Bombyx mori: one gene and its partners. The main gene of each other region encodes a partner of the protein of the gene in region 3 in a complex. Links are inferred from orthologs where the notes say so. Each region holds a gene or a part of one and is shown on either strand. Other genes may lie near its edges.

Region 1 (3,332 bases), on a different chromosome or scaffold from region 3:
ATACAAACAGGTAGAGAAGTTGAACAGACTGATTTAGCGCCAACAATGAGTGCTGCTTTTGGTCGTCCACCGCCCGCACCATCCCTTGGCAACATTCTGTTTCCAGTACTGCCAAAAATGACCGTAGCCGAGACGCTACTGCATTTAACTAACAGCCTCAAGCAGGTAACACGTTCTTAATACAGTTTTGTGGAAACCATTGTCTGTTTTTTGTAGTCTACAAGAATGTAACCTTTGCAGGTTTCTCAATACTTAGTCCGTTACGGTGAAGAATCTCAACAGGTATCTTTAGATCGATTGGCGCATCTTATTAACGCGACAAGAGAACAGATAGAGAAAGCTGCAACGGTAAAGACTGAAGATGATCTCTCTATTTACGTTTCGAATGTTAGGTGAGTATGTTTATTGTATCATTATATCCTATATTTTGGGTGCACGTTTTTGCTAAAGGATTTTCTTTGTTTCAGATTGTTAATGGACAACGTGCGCATAGTTTTTCGGGAAGTTTGGGTTGAGTTTGACACAGTTTCAATGCTTAGAGCACTTTTGTTACTTATTCTGGTGATATTTTTTAATTGGTTGATTGTTGAAGGCATACCCATAGAACGTCTTCCAAATATTTTTGCAAGTACTTTCGTTTCTTGTGGCCTGATATCAATGGCTATTTGCGTAAGCGTATGTTACACTGTCTTTCATTTTGAACTGTTAGAAGATGTTCATCATGGCGTTATTTTAAGCACGGGCTTAATATCTAGTGCGTTGACTTGCGTTTTGGTGATCATGCATTGGGACGGTATTTCACAACGGTGGTATGAAGGGAGATCGCCAATTTACGAGAGATTCTCCCGTGGCGCCTTAATGGCCTCAGCTGCTGTGTTATTATCTAATAGTTACATTATAGAAGAAGGAGCTGAATTATCTTTTCTAGCGTTATCGGTATTGGGCACGATTGCTTGGAATATTGGGACGATTAAGGCTTTCACTTTGTGGGTGGGTTTCGGAGCCACATTAGTAATTAGTAGATCGTATAGGGGATGTAGAGAGGAACAAGGAGATTGTTGGACTTCAATAGGTGTTGGCTCAACTGGACAGGCTTCCCGGACAGCGTTAGTAATGGCTTTAGGTTCAATGGCAGCTGTGGTTGCAATAGCGAGACGACATGTCGGTTGGCGAGGTCATGGTGTCGTCTTGGCTGGTTTGTTTGCATGCGCCCATTGGGCCCTCGGTTGGGGGGCTTTAGGTTCGCCCAGCAGATCAAGACAACTAGCCCGTGGATCATGGCTGATACTCGGATCGATGTTCGTTTTGCTTTGGAAAAGGGAAAGGTTTGGAGCAATACTGCCGTTAATTGTGTGCAGTTTACTCTTCTTCATTGCCAACGCCCTCGTTCTTGGTGCGTCTTTTGCTCCGTCTGCCGCTTTAGGACTATTGGCTGGATATTTGGCTCTTAACGTTGTTTCCATGATGAAGAATGGGAACTCTAAATTCTGTGAGTATTTTAAAACCGTTACTATTCTTACTGTAAGTTGAATCATTCTAATAATTTCTAATCACGTCCTTACGGATCCATCAGATCCAATAACCTTTGTACTAGACGCCTTCAGCTCTAACACTAGGAGCAGGCTTAGGGACCCCCGTAACTATACTCGTCGAGCTCGACAAAGAGGTTGCATCAACTCGCCGAATTTCTCCCCGAATCTTCTCAGCGGGTCGCGATTCCGATCCGGTAGTAGATTCATTCGCGAAGCAGTTGCTCTTGAGTAGTTAGGTCTCCTTCGGAAGCGCTCGGGCTGCTGTTAGCAAGTCCCACCTGTCCTGGTGAAACTGGAAAGGCCTCCGGGCCACCAGTAATCCTTCAATCATAAAAAAGAAGAATAATAATTTGTGAATTTTCAGCATTATCAACTCGATGCAGCTCGAGTGTGGCGTGCATGTGGGCTCTGCTGGCGTCTTACCAATTTTATGGAACGGGCCACCATGCCACGTTGGGCCACGTACGATGGGCCCCGGCCTTCCACGCCGGTGATCCCAACTACCTCCCTATTGGACCTTTTGTCACTGGTGCTCTTGTCTCCTTGGAATTATTTGGTAAGTGGAATAAGATCAATAGTAGAGTAGGCGGATACCTTAACTAGTCGATATATCAGTCTAAATTATAATTCTCAACATTCTTTTCACAATAAATTGTGTGTTCAAAGTACGTAAGCAATTTTGCAGGTACGTTACGAAATAATGCGGTAGAAGATAAGGACATCTTATCATTAGACTAGGCCATACATGTGACACGAAATTTGATATCTAATCTAGGCACTTGAAAACATGAAATTAAATGTACACATGCATGTTTCATTATTATTAATGCGACTTTGAACGTAATTTTCTAAATACCTTATGCGCATAGATATACGGTTGAAATTCCGGCTGCATTATATTCTAACCGGAATGATTGCTGCAGAAATAGGTAGGGGCTTACAATTGGCCCTAATATCCGTAATCTGTGGTTCAATAAAAGACGTTAGGTTATACTGGGAATGTAAGGGAAAGGAAAGGGCTTAGCCCTTAAGGCACTCGCACGATTTTGGTCAAGCTGGAAAGGCCTTCGGGCTGCCAGCATCTTTCCACCCCAAAAACAACGATAATAATTGAATGTACCACCTGAATATCTGTGGAGAACAATATATGTGATTTGACCACTGTCTTATTGATTTAACACACTCGTGTGTGTGTATTAGAATTTTGTGATAAATTTCCCAAAAAATTTGGAACATGGATTCTGAAACAAAAAGTTCTACGTACTAACTTTCTATATTTATTTATTTATTTCTGTTATTTTCTTAATAGGCATATTTCTGAAGTTCCGGTTTATTTAATTAAGGACATTAATCAATTTCTACGTTTTGACTTAGATCTTTTCTTGTTTATATGTTTAAAAATGTTTTTGAAGTTATACTTCTTTAGGCGCGTTATGAAAAATTTATGAGAGTGAAATTTTACGATGCGCGCGCACCGTGACACAAAATTAACAGAATGAAGTTGCCCACTAAATCGCTCATTACAATACGACCGACGTAACTTGGCGAGTCTGAATATAGCCGCAGGTGAACTTTCCGAACCGTACCGAGAATTACCGAATTTATACGATGTCAAGAAAAGAGATGTCCAATATGCGTGTTTGTGGATGTTGTTTAATCGATTTTTTTTCAAATTGATTAAAATGTAAATAAAAAAAAAAGAAATAAATTTAATAAAAATAAAGTATAACTTCTTACGCGCGTACATAAGTACACCAACCCTTTTTTTTCATAATAGGCATATCTCTGAAGTTCTAGTTT
Region 2 (3,821 bases), on a different chromosome or scaffold from region 3:
GTTCTATCACTAGTATTTTTATAGTTTCGACAGGTGACCGGGGACTGCCACCCGCCTCGGTGTCCCATAATAATGATAATTATAATAATTCATTAATGAAAAAACAATAAAATAAACAAAGAATATGTATTAACAAACAAGTAGGCCTTCTCAACTAAGATTATGATATTATTTCATACAAATTCTACCTTATATTTACGTAACAGGCTATCAGTATTATTGATAGTCCGCAAGTGAACCATGGTACTATGGTTCAAGTACCGACAGTCATAACAGTCTGCTAATGTCTCAACTGTATTAAATAAAAATTCTCCCACCCTGGATACCAGAACGCATTACTGCTTCGCGGTATAAATAGACAGGGCTGTGGCCCAGGCGGGTTCATAAAACGCCCTATTGCCAATAATCACCCAAATTATAATTTTTGCAGGCTCGATTTTTATTGTACGATTGAATATAATGCTAATGGTGATTATTCCGACCCACTTTATAACGTGATAAAGGTCCCAATTGCACTAGAATAACGTACTCGTAGAACTCGACAAAGAGGTCGACGTGCAAACTAACCCAAGCATCAGCCGGTAGTAGATTCATTCGCGAAGCAATTGCTCTTGAGTTGTTAGGCCTCCTTCGGAGGCGCTCGGGCAGTTGTTAGCAAATCACACCCCTCCTGGGTGAGCATTTGCTCGCCCACCTGTCCTGGTGAAACTGGAAAGGCCTCTGGGCCACCAGTAACCTTTCAATCATAAAAAAAAACTAGAATAACGGCTGTCTATAAAACGTTAGACATTAAATACCTATATACATAAAATTTATTCTTTGTTACTAAAACAACTGTGTCCTTTCTTATAGAGTTTTACAAGCAATTCGAGAGGGCCGAAAATCAATTTGCCCACTATTTGGCGACCGGTCAGCAAAGCGCCGCGAAAATATCAAAAGAGTTCTACGAACAGTCGCTGGCGGAGATGACCGAGTACCTCAACGGAACCACGGTCGACTTCGACATGTTCTCTATAGTAGTTGCTATAATACTGCTTTATTTTGTAAGTTGCATTTAAATAATTTTAATTAAATTCATTCTCTACGAACGGATGGCCGTTGGGGCCAGAAAGTTCTTGAGTGGCGATCGCGTACCGGAAGACTTGCGTGGGTAGGCCTCCCACAAGATGGACCGACGATCTACTGAGATTCGCGGGGATCCGCTGGATGCAGGCAGCGAAGGGCCGGTCTTTGTGGCGAGGCGTGGGGGAGGCCTATGTCCAGCAGTGGACGTCTGTAGGCTGATAAGAAGAAGAAGAAGAAATTCATTCTCGAGCTATTTATCATCATTAGGAACAAATCAATACCGAACGACCCGATCTTATTTTCAAATCCGTCATTTGAACTACAAAACTCGACTGAAAATAACTTCGTAAAGTGTGACGTCATTTGTGGTCAAAATAATCTACTACCTTATACGTACGTACATTCGTCACACTAATGTTACCTCCGGTTTGAGCCCCGAACGCTCACCTACACGCTAGAGTAACGCTGATATAGGCTATCAGCATAGATAGGGGAAAAAAACTAATCTTAAATTTATTTTTATTCCAATGCCTTTTCCCCAAATTTCGACCGCGAATGTGAAGCCGTATCCGTAGTACAACACCTCTTTTCGGTGGTAGATTCTGCGAAGCACTGTTCTCGTTAGGGCCACTGTTAGCGACACCTCTGGTTTGAGTCCCGAGAGCTCACCTACACACTAGGGCATCGCTGATATAGCCTCGAGGCTATCAGGAAAAAAAAGTACAACTCGATTGATTTTACATTTTACATTGCAGATTGTCGCGTCGCTTCTGTGCGTAACTCTATACTCACTCCAGCCGGACCACAGCAGGAAACACAGTACGACGAAGCGAGGCTACCAAAGCTCTAACGCCGGTAGAATAGTGGCGTTTCTATTCATGCTCTGCTTGTCCGGTAGCGGCTTGATCGTCGCCTGTTTCATAACCGAAACCAAAAGTCAGCTGTGCTCGTTCAACGGGCTCTGGCTACCGGTCCTTTTAGTCGTCGCGGCAGCGTTCACAATAACATACTTCATCATGAAAACCGGCATCGAGAGAATAAAAAATCTGTCGTCGCTAAACGAGCTGAACGCGATCGATTTTCTACTGATCGGCGGGACAGTTTTCCATGCGTGGTCTTTCTTCGGCACGAGTTTCATCGAGGAAGAGCACATGACGTGGTATTTCTTCTGGAACACATTCATGTTTTTCGTTTTGATACGGAGCATCGTGGTTGTCGTTATGTATTGGAGTAAGAAGATGACCGGCGCGACTGAAGTACAAGAGAAACCTGGCTTAGATGAGAAAATGAGCGCCGTCGGTATCAGTATTGTCCCGAAATGGGTCCTACTCATAGCCTTACATAGGTTAGTGAAATATATTATCAATAATTAAATACCATAAGCAGGATTTTTTTTATTTATTTATTTCTTTGTTTAATCAGCTTTAAGCACAAAGGTACATTTAATATTTTACAAGGAGGATTTAATACAAGTAGTAGTTTTAATAGATATGGTATAATTATATAGATACATTAGTTTTAATGTTCTAGACATGTTGAAGGGTAGGTAGGTACCATCATCCTGCTGAGACCTGCCGTGAAACAGTAATGCGTTCCGATGCGAAGCGTGCGACATAATTCGGTACACAATATAATTCAGATCTCAACATCGTTCTCATTTGATACCAGACTAGCGGCCCGCTCCGGCTCCGCTCCGGTCTTGAACAAAAATTTCAACGATATTTGACGTTATTTTATTTTTTTATATAAAAGAACACTTCCCGACACTTTTTGTAAATAACAATGTGTTCTACAAAGTCGTAGTACATTATTTTATTCTATCATCAATAGTTTTCGCAGGGCACGCGATTTAAAGAATATTTTAGGTAATTTTTTTTACACCTTGAGTTACATTATTGGAGTTTTAGTAAGGATCCCTAATTTTTTTTCAAAAAACATTATAGCCTATGTCACTCGGGTATAGTGTAGATTCCAAACAGTGAAAGAATTTTTCAAATCGGTTCAGTAGTTTCGGAGCTTATTCAATACAAACAAACAAACAAATCTTTCCTCTTTCTAATATTAGTATAGATGAGCCGTGAGCTCATTCGTCCAGCTAAGCATTGATATTTAGAATAATTACGTGAAATAATTTCAGATATTTGCGCACCATGAACCAGACCGGGGACCGCTGGTTGTTCCTGCCGGACACAGCGGACTGGCTCAACGAACCTGAGAACTCGCTATACTTAGAACTCCACGTGATCATTGGTAAGTGCTAAACGATATTTTTTTTTAACGAAGTTCCTTATCGCGCGTTGTGAAAGGGGGCTAGACGGAAAAAATTCTTACAAAAAGTTGTCACAACACTTTTTAGATCCGTCATTCTGACCAATCAACGTGTAGGGGCTTATCGCGTGACATTGCTCGTATCCGATTGGTCCGCGTAATGAGTACAGTTTCTCGAGATAGCGTTTCAACAATAGTAATATAATTCATAGTATTGTTTTTTTCTTCTTCATAATGCCGTAATTTATTATTATAACTTAAAAAAAAAATTACAATTCCTTCACTAATTAATCGAAAGGAACTTCGTTCCATCCGGGTGTCCCTTGACACCTCTGAAGTTTTTTTTCTTCCTGCCTAAGCTGATGGTTTTGAAAGACCATTTTAGCGTAACCTTAACTAGTAGGTGAGCTCACGGGGTTCAAATCTGACGACGTTGCTAACACGAACCCTAGCAAGAGCAGTGCTTCGCAGAATCTACCACCGGATCG
Region 3 (3,613 bases):
TGTGTTGTTTTAAACAAATTTAAATTGATTTTTGGGTAACGTTTCTGGCTTTTAAAATGAAACACCTAAATTAAAGACGCGACCGACGCATAAAACGCCAGTTGTACTCATATCCATCGATTTTACCATGCTGGTGCGCAAAACCAGCAGGCAGGTAATTTTCTAATGAAATACGTACGTAACAAATGTTTAGGAAAGTTTCCTCCTCAAAAAATATTTGCCAAATTACTGATTTCTACCTGGCTTGGGCAATTACCACAATCCTGCCTATTTCTGCCATGTAGAAACTATGCGTTCCAGTTTGAACTGGTACACCATAACACTTATTACTATACAGTTGAGACTTAGAACTCATGTCTACTTGAAAAATAATTCGCAATGTCTATGGGCTATACACCATAGTAAATGAACTTGGTGAGCCGTGGCCTCAATCCCCTGCCAAGACAGTAAAACCTGCCATTTCATCGTTATAGGCTTTTTTATATCTAATTATCCAACAAACATAGGCATAGATTAACATGGCACTTGCTTGAAAATATAAAACAATTCAGCTGATAAAATGTTTTTATTATCAAATCCTAATTTAAAAAAGACTCTTAGCTAGAGTAGTACTTGTTATCGGGTCAATTTTTTAAATAATTAGAACAAGTAATACAGATAAGTTACCTCATTAGTGATATTGAGTTTTGTAAAAGAAAGGGTATGACAACTATACAGTCAATTTATGGATCACAATTGAAATAATTTAAAACTACAAAGTTAGATTAAAACATTTATTTTAAACAACGATATGAACAAAAAAAACTTGTTAAGAAAACTATAGTAATTTCAAACATGATACAAGTTTACCATAATTATAAATTAAAAATTATAATTTTAAACATAAGTAAAGCCTGATTAGTTACTTCGAAACCCTTAGTTTATTCAATATCATAACTAGGAAATTGACTGCTGGATATTTGTAGGCCGCTGTCATTAAGGTTGCTTTGAATACTGTCAATACATTAGCCAGCAAGTAACCACCTATAGCTCCAAGGTAGCAAGGAATCGGCCACTGCTGCCATGGAGTATTCCAGTCCAGGGGTATCACTACAGCCCCCAGCCATGCGCCGCATACGGTTAGCATGGCATTATTCACTAGCATCTCGACCACTGTGTCCCTGGCAAAGCTCTTCACACCAAACAATAGTTGCATAGAACATTCCACACCAGAATGAAGTATGAGGGGAAATATTGTGAGTATAGTTAAGAGCGTGGATAACATCAATGTTTCTTCATGTAAGTCTAATACAGGCGCGCCAAAAAGTATTATTCCAATAAAGAAACAAAAGTTAACACCTAGGAGAAACACAAACGATTTGAGGACGTCGCTTGCTTTCGTTTTACTGGTCTTGCCTTTCTTTCCTTGTATATCATTCGGGGCGCTAAGATAAAACGACTTCAGTAATTCGGCAATGAATATTAGTACCAAAATATAAAAAGAAGATCCTTTGCCCACATAGTAGAGCGACCCTCTATACGATATAACAGTCACAATACTAGGCAAGTAAATACATGTAATAAGGCTTGATATTGTTATTCGACGTAATTCTAATTGGGTATTAAACGCAAACATTTTAGTGTATCTATAATACTATTTATTACTAACACTATTTATTGTTTAACTTTTAAATTGCCAGTTTGTTTCCATTTGTTACATGTGTGACTTCATTTCATTATCAATTTATCTTGGTCTGTCAATTGATCAATTCAGTAGTAGTAGTTTTATTTTTCCAACTGGAAAGGTAAGGATGTCATAACATACAGCTCAATCTATTATATTATATTCATTTATTTTATTTAATATGAAACACGATAATATGAAATGAATTATGATGCGAAGATATGGGATGAAATATAATCTCGGTAAAATAGTGGTCATTTACTGAGACTCTTTCAGTGGACTTTTTGGAGGATCCCGAGAAGTTATGTCCAGCAGCTTTATTTTATTTTCCCACATTTGTGCAATTTCACAGATACTAAACAGTTGATAAACCACCGCCAAAAAGTCCCAGATTTTCACATTGGCATTACACCGGTCACTCACATGCGCACGAATACGCAAACCCGCAAATGTAGAACGACATTTGCAAATGATTATGCAAAGTTTTCGCTGCATTCGTGGTTTTCCAAGCTGTGTCGTTTTTTTAAAAGACATCAAAGCGCGCGAACCTCGAACCTTCACGTAGTCTCCCACACATTCGCTTGCCCAGTTGCGCCGACGATTGCGAAGGTAACGGACGTATCGCCATTTTCATAGTTCGTGACGTCTACTGTGTAGCGTATCTTCATCAAAAGAAATCCCATAAAAACAGCATAGCTGTTAATGATGTCTGGGAAAGAATTCAAAAATCTTTTTCTTTTCAATGTTCTATTGACGAATTAAAAAGGAGGAGAAATTCGTGAGACATTCGTAAACAAGTGTAGGAGGAAGCGCAAACGGGTTCGCAAATTGAGTATGCGAACCCATTTGCACAGCTGCTAAGTTTGCGAATGAATGTTTGACGGCCCTTCACATGAGCGCAAACATTCGTACAATGTACGAATATTTGCCCGCATGTGAGTGGCCGGCATTAGAAATATTGTGTATTATCTATGCATTAAGACTGAATTGACAGGACTTTTTGGCGAGAGCACGAAGAGTGAACTTGTATGATTTGGTTTTTTTGTCTATTTAATATTTCTTCAGGTTTAAATGTGTACTAACGATGATTTATTAACTGTTTAGTATTTGTGAAAATGCATAAATATATATATGAAATTAGACTGTATGGTACTACACCTTTGCTTTTCCAGTTGGAAAAATAAAGCTATACTGTCAAAACTTCATTCAGCATCAAAATCTATTTAGTCGATTGTGAATTTAAGTTTCATAAATTACAACTAAAACTAAATTTTACTGAATTACAAAACAAGTTAAGAATTATCATGGATAAAAGTAATGCAATTATTAAATAAATTTCTTCTTAATATACTTTTGATACAATTAAATCGTTCAATATTGTTGATATTTAATTCCAAATGACATTAGCTATTTGGCAACACTAAGCTTACGAAATCAAATCAAAATAAATTTTGTAGTGTGTATGACTGCGGGAGCTCAGCAAAAGTACGTTCAAATCGATATGACGACACAAACTTTATAAATGAAAGTCGCTGTCAGCTGAGCTCCCAGTTGATCGGTCACAGACCACAGTGGAACGTTCGGCTACAGTGAGAGCCAACGTTTAGTTATCCTTAAATAAATTATTTCCAACTTCAACAAGTTTCATAAGTGTTTTGTGTCATCGATTACATAAAAATCGTAAAATGCCTTGTCCGTTTTTGGGATCGTTGAACCAAGCGTTCGTGAAAAATTATGGTGCGACCCTGATGAAGCAGTACGGAAATTATTGCCCGATTATATCTCGTGGATTTCGTTCTTTGGGAAATGACGAAACCAAATGCCCCTTCATTCAGCAAAACTCTATCATTTCGGAAGCTCCTAAGGAAATGACCGAGGACATCGCGGAACCTGCGACTCCGTACCACTACGAGAACTTTTTCCACGACCAGATCAACGCTAAAAAAAGGG

What was found.
Region 1: phosphatidylinositol-glycan biosynthesis class F protein (region 3) and GPI ethanolamine phosphate transferase 3 share a complex: the UniProt entries of both Homo sapiens proteins name them as parts of the ethanolamine phosphate transferase 3 complex. The link is inferred for Bombyx mori from reciprocal best matches to the Homo sapiens genes PIGF and PIGO.
Region 2: phosphatidylinositol-glycan biosynthesis class F protein (region 3) and GPI ethanolamine phosphate transferase 2 share a complex: the UniProt entries of both Homo sapiens proteins name them as parts of the ethanolamine phosphate transferase 2 complex. The link is inferred for Bombyx mori from reciprocal best matches to the Homo sapiens genes PIGF and PIGG.

The regions. Positions count from the first base shown.
Region 1 is NC_085125.1:5,254,793-5,258,124, forward strand, and holds part of GPI ethanolamine phosphate transferase 3, read left to right. Parts: coding exon 1-165; intron 166-240; coding exon 241-392; intron 393-467; coding exon 468-1,489; intron 1,490-1,896; coding exon 1,897-2,088; intron 2,089-3,332.
Region 2 is NC_085125.1:9,588,225-9,592,045, reverse strand, and holds part of GPI ethanolamine phosphate transferase 2, read left to right. Parts: intron 1-852; coding exon 853-1,043; intron 1,044-1,820; coding exon 1,821-2,410; intron 2,411-3,202; coding exon 3,203-3,315; intron 3,316-3,821.
Region 3 is NC_085115.1:1,480,392-1,484,004, reverse strand, and holds phosphatidylinositol-glycan biosynthesis class F protein, read right to left. Parts: upstream 1,750-3,613; 5' UTR 1,616-1,749; coding exon 902-1,615; 3' UTR 764-901; downstream 1-763. Other genes in the region: 5-aminolevulinate synthase, non-specific, mitochondrial, read left to right, coding at 3,349-3,613.